2 linked regions of the Canis lupus familiaris genome follow. The protein of the gene in region 2 binds, or shares a complex with, the protein of the main gene of each other region. Links are inferred from orthologs where the notes say so. Each region holds a gene or a part of one and is shown on either strand. Other genes may lie near its edges.

Region 1 (4,103 bases), on a different chromosome or scaffold from region 2:
ATAGGGGCTGGCCTGTGAGCTCTGTGTTGTCTCCCTATACCCTGGGCATCTATGAGTTCCCAAACCTACACCTACACAGAGTAGTAGGTACAGGGCTCTGAGCATGGGCCTCTGCAGTGGCACCAGCACGCAAACTGTGACTCCCTCCAGTTGCCTTCCTGAGACCCACACTGCAACAAATGGCTGCCTGTGCCCCTTGCCACTCCACAGGGCTCCCCCAGGGCATGTCTCTGAGGAGCCCAGTCCTTGCTAACAAAGCAGGGGAATGCACAGACCCCGGCTCTCCCTGGGCCCCTTAGGTGCCAACAACAGATGTTTTTGTTTAGGACAAGTCTGCCAGCAATACCCTCACCCATATAACACATCCTCCCACCAACAGAACAGAGGCCCTGGCTCAGACCTGCCCCTGCCCCAGCCACCTCAGGTGCAAACAGGCTGCTTGTGTCTGTGACACAGCCAACACAGTGACAAACGAGAGCCAAGAACAGGAACAGCATACAGAAGCTGGGCTCTAGCTCACCCTCGGCATGGTTCTCTGATCCCTGGCCACACACAGAGGCCCTCCTGTGGGACACAAGGTCCCACACACCCCAGGAAAGAGTAGCTCACCCTGCAGAACCTGCTTTGCCACCCACACTTGACCCTCTGATCAAACAAAGGAAGGCCAAGGTGAGTATGATTATGGTCTACTCTCTGGAGTGCAGGGACGAGTGAGACTGGCTACACATCCTCTAGACCCAGCAGCAACCCCCAGCTGCTGCACTGTAAACCAAAGGCCTCACTCAGGTGGCACAAACCAACACCCCTTTAAGACCACAGTGCTGGGAAAGACAGAATTCAATCCGACATCCGTGCTCTCATCGATGGTCACATAAACACCAATATTTCCAACTTCTGTATTTTGAACCCTGCCCCAGAGACTCATCCAGTAGACGCTGCAGCCAGCCCATGTGCACTGTGCTCACACACCCAGGGCCCTGCAGGCGGCACTCGGACCACTCATGGACACACTGTGCCAGCCATGGGCCTTGTCACACATCTGCCGCACCTGGCATTACCCACTACAATAGTCAAACGGCCTAGTTAAGATCTTGCCCCATGACAGACAAGCTGCTGCTGCTTCTCTCAGAGAATCAGAGAACCATCAGCAATAAAGCAGTAGCATTTTGATATCATTTCAAAAAAAAAAAAATCTGTATTTTCATTGAAACTTGTCATTTCCCTTTACTTGGGAGATTAAGTACAGAACTGTCTTGATCTCTATGAACACCGACCCTGGGCCCATGCTCCCTTCTTCTGGCCCCACTGTAATCCAAGTTCAGCCTCTCGTTCTTGAACACACACTAGTATCCCCACTCCAACCCAAAAGGGATCTGGTTTGGAGAAGCAAGGCTGAGAGACGCCTGTACACAGGGCTGTTTATTTGCAGCACAGCAATGAAGACAAATGACACAGATGAAGAAAAATGCAAGACACAGGAGCCTGATCCTCCATCCTCGTGGATCAAAACTGTTCTGACAGCAATTCACACAACCTCTGAGAGACGGTCTCTTTACTCGTGCGCAGCGTGAGTCGGTACATCTGAAACAGAACACGGCAGGTCAGTGGCCACATGCGGGCTCGTGCACCCTCAGCAGAGTACTCTGGGACAGCAGATGGCCCCTCGGGCTCCCCTGCTCAGCAATTCCCTGGAGGCACCCACATTTTTACAAAGACTTAGGCAAACACGTATACTCTCAAGCACCTAAAATACAAAAAGTTTAACAATTAACAAGTGGCAGCAACATGTGGAGCATGCTGCAGATGGGGCACAGAACTCTGGAAAACTGGCAGTGCCCAGACCGAAGGAGCCTGCAGCTCATCCCAAGTAAAGGAAAGACAGCTGCACAGAGGCACACGGCAGCTCTACTCAGAATGGTCCCACACTGGGAGAGCCCAGGTGCCCATCCATAGGACTAGGTAAGCCCACGGGGACCCAAAGGGCACACACACACACACAGCTACAGGGCTGAGTACTGGAGGGCAGGGCCAGGCTGGCCCAACAGCAGCCCCACAGTGGCGGCCTCCACAAGAGGTTGAGAATGATGGAGAGCAGACCTCAGGGAACTTTCTGGGGTGACAGAAATGGTCTATGTACCAGCAGGGTGGTGGAGGTTACACAGGTGTACACATCTATGGGAACTCCTCAGATGACTCCACTTAGAACACACGTGACACCACAACAAGCACACAACTTGGGTGTATATAACAATTTCCTCAAGAAGTCTGACCTGGGCTTGCAGATTTGGTTCCAAACGCAGTAAGCATCCAATTTGGGTGGTTTTGGTGTGTATGATACCAGCCCCCACGAAATTTGCAGGATTAGGATCTACGTCTTCAAGGAGTGCAGAACCAAACCCAATGATCTGTGCAATAGACAGGCATGCAGGGCAGTGAGACTGGGGACCTTGGAGGGACAATAACACAACCGACCAACCTCCAGAGACCAGGAAGCACCCCAACCCTGGGAATGCCCATCAGTGGGCCTTACCTTGGCTTTGGTGATTTCTGTGTCCATCGGGTGCTTTGCTTTGAAAATGTTCTGCACTTCCTGTTGGGGACTGTGAGGTATAATCAGGAGTCACCACCTCGAGCCTGGTCAGTATGGGAGGACCGAGCCCTGCCCTCTGCCCCATGGCCCTGCACTCACCTGCTCAGCTGCTTCCAACGCTGAAAGAAATCCTGAGAAGCCATTTCTGTGGGCTGGAAAAATTTGTTGAGTGTGATAGGCAGCTTAACGGACACATTCTGAAAGGTTCCCCCATACCTACAGGGTAAGATGGAGACGCAGTGAGCAGGGCACAAGGGCAGCGGAAATCCTAACACTCAACTAGACAACCAAAACCCTAATGTGCCAATCAGCAGGGCACAGGGAATGTCTGCTGCTGTGGTCGGGGGGTGGGGGATGGAATGTTCTGGAAGGGTGGCACAGCCTCTATATGCACATCCAGGGGTGCTGCTCCAGCCAGACACCACTAGGCCCATCAGACTAGGTCAAGGATGGGCCTCAGGCAGGATGGCCCAGCTAAGGCTTCCACATCTCCTCACTTTTCCTCATAGCCCATTTCCTACAACTCCAAGTTGGTTTAAATTGTATGGGATTTTTCCTTTTTGCTATGAAAAGAGACTAAAAAAAGCATTTGCCTACAGAATGAAACAAAAATTTGCAGGTCTATTTCCCTAAATTCTACAAAGTACGGTCTTCAGTTCTCTGTGTTTTTAATGTTCGAAAACATGCTGTTCCAAAACTTGAACCGTACAAACACCCTACAGAAATCAGTTATTCACATACATTCTGTCCTACTCACTGACAAATGACAGCCAGGATCAGAGTAGTAATACAAAATCCATTTTTTTTTTTTAATAATCAAAACGTAGGGCGCTGGGGTGGCGTGGGGTGGCTCAGTTGGTGTCCAACTCTTGATTTCACTCAGGCTGTGATCTTGGGGTGCTGGGATCAACCCCGCATCAGACTCTGCACTTAGCTGGGAGCCTGAGATTCTTTCTGCCCACCGCCCCCCGCTCTTCCTTCTCTAAAATAAAGAAGTCTTTTAAAACAACCAAAATGGGGACGCTCAGTGGTTGAATGTCTGTCTGCCTTCGGCTCAGGTCGTGATCCTAGGGTCCCAGGATCGAGTCCCGCATTGGGCTCCCCACAGGGAGCCTGCTTTTCCCTCTGCTTATGTCTCTGCCTCTCTCTCTCACTCTCTCTCCCATTCTCTCTCATGAAAGAGCACAGGACCTCAGAAATAGCGCCGTCTCACAGTGGCCTCCCAGGACCCTGCACACACCTTCTACATGCTGTGCACCTAACACTGCAGTGTGCATGGTGGGTGATGCCACTCATCTGGGTTACCCACTTAGCCCTCACAACAACCTCCAAAGGAAGGATGTGGAGACTCGCCTAGGACGAAGGACTCCCAAGGACATGGCTCTGTGCAGGCATGACCCCACAGCCCCAAGCTCCAAGCCAAAGTAGGCTGGTCATTCAACTCACTGGCCCATGAGCTCCTTACCTGAACTGGATGTTGAGGACTGGTGCCTCCGTGAAGTCAGACACACAC
Region 2 (5,080 bases):
CTGTTTCTCATGGATAAATAAATAAACTCTTAAAAAAAAAAAGTAGATATATATCTTAAAATGTTACATCAGAAATGAAAAACTATTTTTTACATCATGAATAGGTGAAGTGGGTCATAATTTTTTTTTGCCCTGCATGTACCAAGATGTGTTAGTTTTTTCTCTGTCTTGTTTGTATGGTGATTTATGTTGGTTGAAATTTGAATGTTAAGCCAACCTTTTATTCCTAAAATAAGCCATACTTGGTCATGGTGTTTTACCATTTACAAAAATATTTTACTTGATTCAATATGCTATTATTATCTTTTAATTTAAATTCTTGAAAGATACTGGTTTATAGTTTTCTTGTAATGTTCTTACCTAGTTTTGGTATCGGGGTAATAAATAAGAAATTAGTATTCCTTCCTCCTCTATTTTCTAAAAATGTTTGTGTTGAAATGGCACTATTTCCTTAAAGTTTTCATTCATCAGTGAAGCCATCTGGGCCTGGAGGCTTTTTTGTGGTACGACTTTTAACTGCAAAATGTATTTAATAGATATACAAGTATTATTCAGATTTTCTGTTTCTTCTTGAGCCTGATGATTTGTATCTTTCAGTGAATTTTTTCATTTCATCTAAGTTGTCAGATTTATTTGTATCAAGTTGTTTACAATACTCCCTTAATTTTTTGCAAGTCTACAGTATCTGTAGCGATGTCAGTTCTTACATTTCTTATAATGGGAATTTGCATCTTCTCTCCCTCTTCAACTTTTCCCCGCTCTTTCTCCTTTTCCCTCCTCCTCTTCTCCATCAATCTAGCCAGAATTTTATTAGTTTCCATGTATATGTAAATGCTGGACACTTGTAGGGATAAACGAATGGAATGAATTGGAGGAAAAGCAGGTAAGCCTAAGAGCAGTTAAGGAATGTATTTTCTCACCTGTAATTGTTGCTGTAGATGGGTGATTTCAGCAATTCTCAACTCTCTGGATTTATTTGTACTCTCAATTTCTTGCCGTTGGGTGGTCAATCGACACCTGATATCTTGAAGTTTTCCTTCTAGTTGATGCTTTTTATCATTCTTTAACAAATGAAAAATAATTACTATTATTATTATTACCATTTCTAATGGTTCAGTGTTAGTAGACAACTGACCCTTGAACAACACAAGTTAGAATTGCATGGGTCCACTTACATGTGGATTTTTTTCAAGAAATAACCGTATAGTCCTGTAAATGTGTCTACTTTTCTTTATCAGTTTCTTAACATGTTCTTTCCTCTAACTTCCTTTACTTTAAAGATACATATAACATATGTGTTAAGTAACTGGTCCATAGCACACTACTAATAGTTTTGTTTGAGGGGAGTCAAAAGTTAAGAGTTTTGACTACAGGGGATCTGTGCCCATGATCCCTGTGTTGTTCAAGGGTCAACCATATTCCCAGAGCATAATCAAACATCACTCACAAGAGCTTCTAATTCAAATTCTAGAGTCTTCTTCTTTGCTTTCAGTACAACTATGTCTTCTTGTTCTTTGTTTCTCTGATTGAGTAGCTCTTGTCTTCGATTTCGTTCCCATTCCAGTTGCCGCTGTCTTTCAAGTTCTCTCTTTGCAGCCTGTGGCATTGGCAAACAGACAACTGACTAACATTTTAGTCCTTACATTATACAACGTCTCCTAATAAACATAACATCTAGTAAGGCCTTACTTTTAGAGATAAAATGGTACATGCTACAAAAGCTTCTATTACAAAATAGTAAAACAAAATTTATACAAATCTAGTATTTCTTCTATGGGGAAAAAAAAGAATATTGAGAAAAGCTATTTAGTTAGGTGAGACCAGGAAAGATTCATTTCATCATTAGAATTCGATTGTTTATGCCTTCAAGAATGCTTGATGTGACTAAAATAAAAAAACAAAGAACAAAACAAAAAAATCCTGTTCTTTCTTATTTATTGACTCGTAAAGACCAAGAAAAATATCTTTAATCCAGTAAAGTATACCAAAACCCCAGGACAAAAACCAAAAGCAAAAAGTACCCCCAGCCAAAAACACCTTCTATCAAATGAGAAATTACTTATCTCAAGTTTTAAAAGTTTGTTGCTTCCCTACCCCCCCATCATGTTTTTTTTTTTAAACACCACATAAGCTTCCACAATTTCTGTAGTAATGTCCGCTCTTTTGAAAGCTGACTCTGATGGCTGCTGGGTAAAGTACATGTCCAAAGCCATCTAGCACTCTATTGTAATTGCTTCATATGTACTGGTCCTCCAACTACCCTTTGGGCCTAGAAGGAAAAGGTGGAGTACCTATTCACCAGTACTCTAGGAAGTACCAATGTGTAGCTTATGGTGAATGACTATTAAGTAATTCTGAATAAATACTCTAAAGTGTCTTTAAACAAAACAAAACAAAAAAACATTAAGGGTAGGTGGTCTGTCTTTTGGCTATCCATTCTGGAAGTTAAAACCCTGTTAGTATCCATATGCATTTGCTTGAATTAAAGGAGGCTTACTGTTCTAAGTTTTCTGAGGCAATAACAGTAAATGAAACCAAAGTATTGTGTTTTTATAAAGAAAAATCTTCCATATGTAAAATATATTTCATTCACACAAAAGAATAATGGCACTGCATCTGCAGCAAAATGCTAGAACTGGAAATTCAGGTAAAAGATTAGCTTAGCCCCTCTCCAGGTATGACACCAAATTTATGAAGCCTTCCATCAAATATAGTGAACATATTATTTTTAAGTAGAAAAAAGAGGCACAGAACAATGTAATTAGTATGATACTATTACAAGGGTTAAAAAAAATTGCACCACTAAAAAAAAAAAAAAAAAAATTGCACCAAACCCCCAATCTCTCCACTATATAACCTTTTATATTTCTATATACATATATAAATGCAGAAAAAAAAATCTGAAAAATTCTTAACTGATATCAGTGGTTTGTTACAAGACTATGTTATCAAAAGCTGGAGCTTAGCAACATTATTCATAATAAAAAAACATTATTCATAATCGTTCAAAAAAGGAGAAAACAACTCAAACGTCCATAAGCTGATAAATGGATAAATATAATTTGGAACATCTGTGTAATAGAATATTATTAGGTCATAAAAAGGAATAAGGTAATGATTCATGCTACATCTTGGGACTTGGGAACATGCTAAGTGGAAACCAGACACAAAAGGTCATATATTACATGATTCCATTTATATGAAATGTCCACAAAACAGGCAAACCTACACAGGTGGAAAGTAAATGAGTGGCTTTGAGGGCAGGAGAAGAGGGGAATAGAGAGTAACTGCTTTATGAGTAAGAAATTTCTTCTTGGGGGATGCTTGGGTGGTTCAGTGGTTGAATGTCTGCGTGTGGCTCAGGTTGAGTCCCGCAGCAAGCTCCCTGCAGGGAGCCTACTTCTCCCTCTGCCTATGTCTCTGCATCTCTCTGTGTCTCTCATGAATAAATAAATAAATTTTTTTTAAAAATTTCTTTTTGGGGTGAGGAAAATGCTCTGGAATTAGTGGTTATGGTCCCACAACTTTGTGAATATACTCAAACCACTGAACTACAGCAAAAAAAGACCATATTAATATATTAATATTACTTGAATAATTAAGAAGGAGACCAGAGCACACACGCTAATTGTGGGCTTGGCTCTACAGTTGCTTACCTCTCGTCTCTCAATTTCTTTCCTCCTCTCCTCTTCTCTCTGACGTTCTAGCTCCCGTTGCTTTTCCAGTTGTTTCTCCAACTCCAGTTGCCTTTTGCGCTCTTGCTCCTGGCGCTCCCGCTCTTTCCGTTCTTGCTCTGCACGTTCAAGCTGTGCCAGGCGCTCTTGCTCTTTGCGCTGCTGCTCCAAGAGCGCTTGTCTCCGTTTCTCGAGTTCCAGATTGCCACGTTCAAAATTCTCACGCTTCTTATCTTCAAAGGTTACTTTAAAACAAGAAGCAGAAAAACTTTGAAAAGTCAGGATTTTCAACATACTATTTTCTAAGGAAAAATTCATTCAATGGCACATTTGAAATTTGTAGTAAAAACAAACCTGAACTGAAGCTTCCGTACTGTCTGGGCCCTTAGGAATAAGCACTATGTCACCAAAAAACTTTAATTTTTTGATACAAAAAAACTTTTAGAACCAATAACTTAATTCAGTAAAGCTGCAGGACACAAAATCAAAATATGAAATTGGTTGCATTTCTATATACTCATAATGAACTATCAGAAGGAGAAATTAAGAAAACAGTCCCCTTTACACAATGGCATAAAAAAGAATACCTAGGAATAAATTTAACCCAGACCTGCACACTGAAAATTATAAGACACTGATGGAAGAAACTGAAGACATAATTAAATGAAAAAGTATTCCATGATCAGAATTGGATTGGAAGAATTAATATTATTAAACAAGCAAGCTCTAAATTCAATGCTGTTCCTATCAAAATTCCAATGGCATTTTTCATAGAGCTTAAATAATTTTCAAAAGTATATGGAACCACAAAAGACAACAAATAGCCAAAGCAGTCTTGAGAGAAAGAAGAACAAACTCAGAGCTATCATGCTCCCTGACTTCAAACTATACTGCAAAGCTACAGTAATTGAAACAGTATTATTGGCATAAAAACAGACACAGATCAATGGAACGGAACAGAGAGCCCAGAAACAAACCCACAATTAAATGGTCAATTAATTTACAACAAATAAGCCAAGAATATACAATAGGAAAAGAAAAGTCTTTGCAGTAAGTGGTGCTACTAGACAACCGCCACATGCAAAACAATGACACTGGACCACTTTCTTCTCACACCAGACAAAAAAATGAGCTCAAAACAGATTAAAGAGCTGAATGTTAGACCTAAACCACAAAACTTGTAGAAGAAAACATAGGCAGAAAGCTCACTGACAGTGCTCATGGAACACTGCTTTTTAGAACTGACTCCAAGGGAGTAGTAACATTGAAAGTAAAAATAAACATGTGGGACTCTATCAAACCACAAAGCTTCTGCACAGTGAAGGAAACCATCAATAAAATAAAAAGGCAACTTTTTGAACAGGAGAAGATACGTGCAAATCATATATCTGATAATGGGCTAATAT

The links. Proteins that work in one complex are often made in the same cells at the same time.
Region 1: the proteins of ITSN1 (region 2) and AP2A2 are in contact, whole or in part, in a crystal structure (PDB 3HS8), measured with the Mus musculus proteins. The link is inferred for Canis lupus familiaris from reciprocal best matches to the Homo sapiens genes ITSN1 and AP2A2. Residues at the interface, in NP_034717.2 of Mus musculus: Asn841, Trp843, Ala844, Phe846, Ser847, Ser848; in XP_006536218.1 of Mus musculus: Glu308, Gly320, Val321, Glu324, Gln329, Gly331, Leu332, Lys333, Phe346, Gly348, Asn349, Lys350, Gly386, Ala387, Gln388.

The regions. Positions count from the first base shown.
Region 1 is NC_049239.1:45,788,313-45,792,415, reverse strand, and holds the end of AP2A2 (AP-2 complex subunit alpha-2), read right to left. Parts: coding exon 4,056-4,103; intron 2,807-4,055; coding exon 2,690-2,806; intron 2,601-2,689; coding exon 2,531-2,600; intron 2,406-2,530; coding exon 2,271-2,405; intron 1,582-2,270; coding exon 1,504-1,581; 3' UTR 1,394-1,503; downstream 1-1,393. UniProt on the Homo sapiens protein: Component of the adaptor protein complex 2 (AP-2). Adaptor protein complexes function in protein transport via transport vesicles in different membrane traffic pathways.
Region 2 is NC_049252.1:28,938,695-28,943,774, reverse strand, and holds part of ITSN1 (intersectin-1), read right to left. Parts: intron 3,920-5,080; coding exon 3,657-3,919; intron 1,598-3,656; coding exon 1,448-1,597; intron 1,062-1,447; coding exon 921-1,061; intron 1-920. UniProt on the Homo sapiens protein: Adapter protein that provides a link between the endocytic membrane traffic and the actin assembly machinery. Acts as a guanine nucleotide exchange factor (GEF) for CDC42, and thereby stimulates actin nucleation mediated by WASL and the ARP2/3 complex.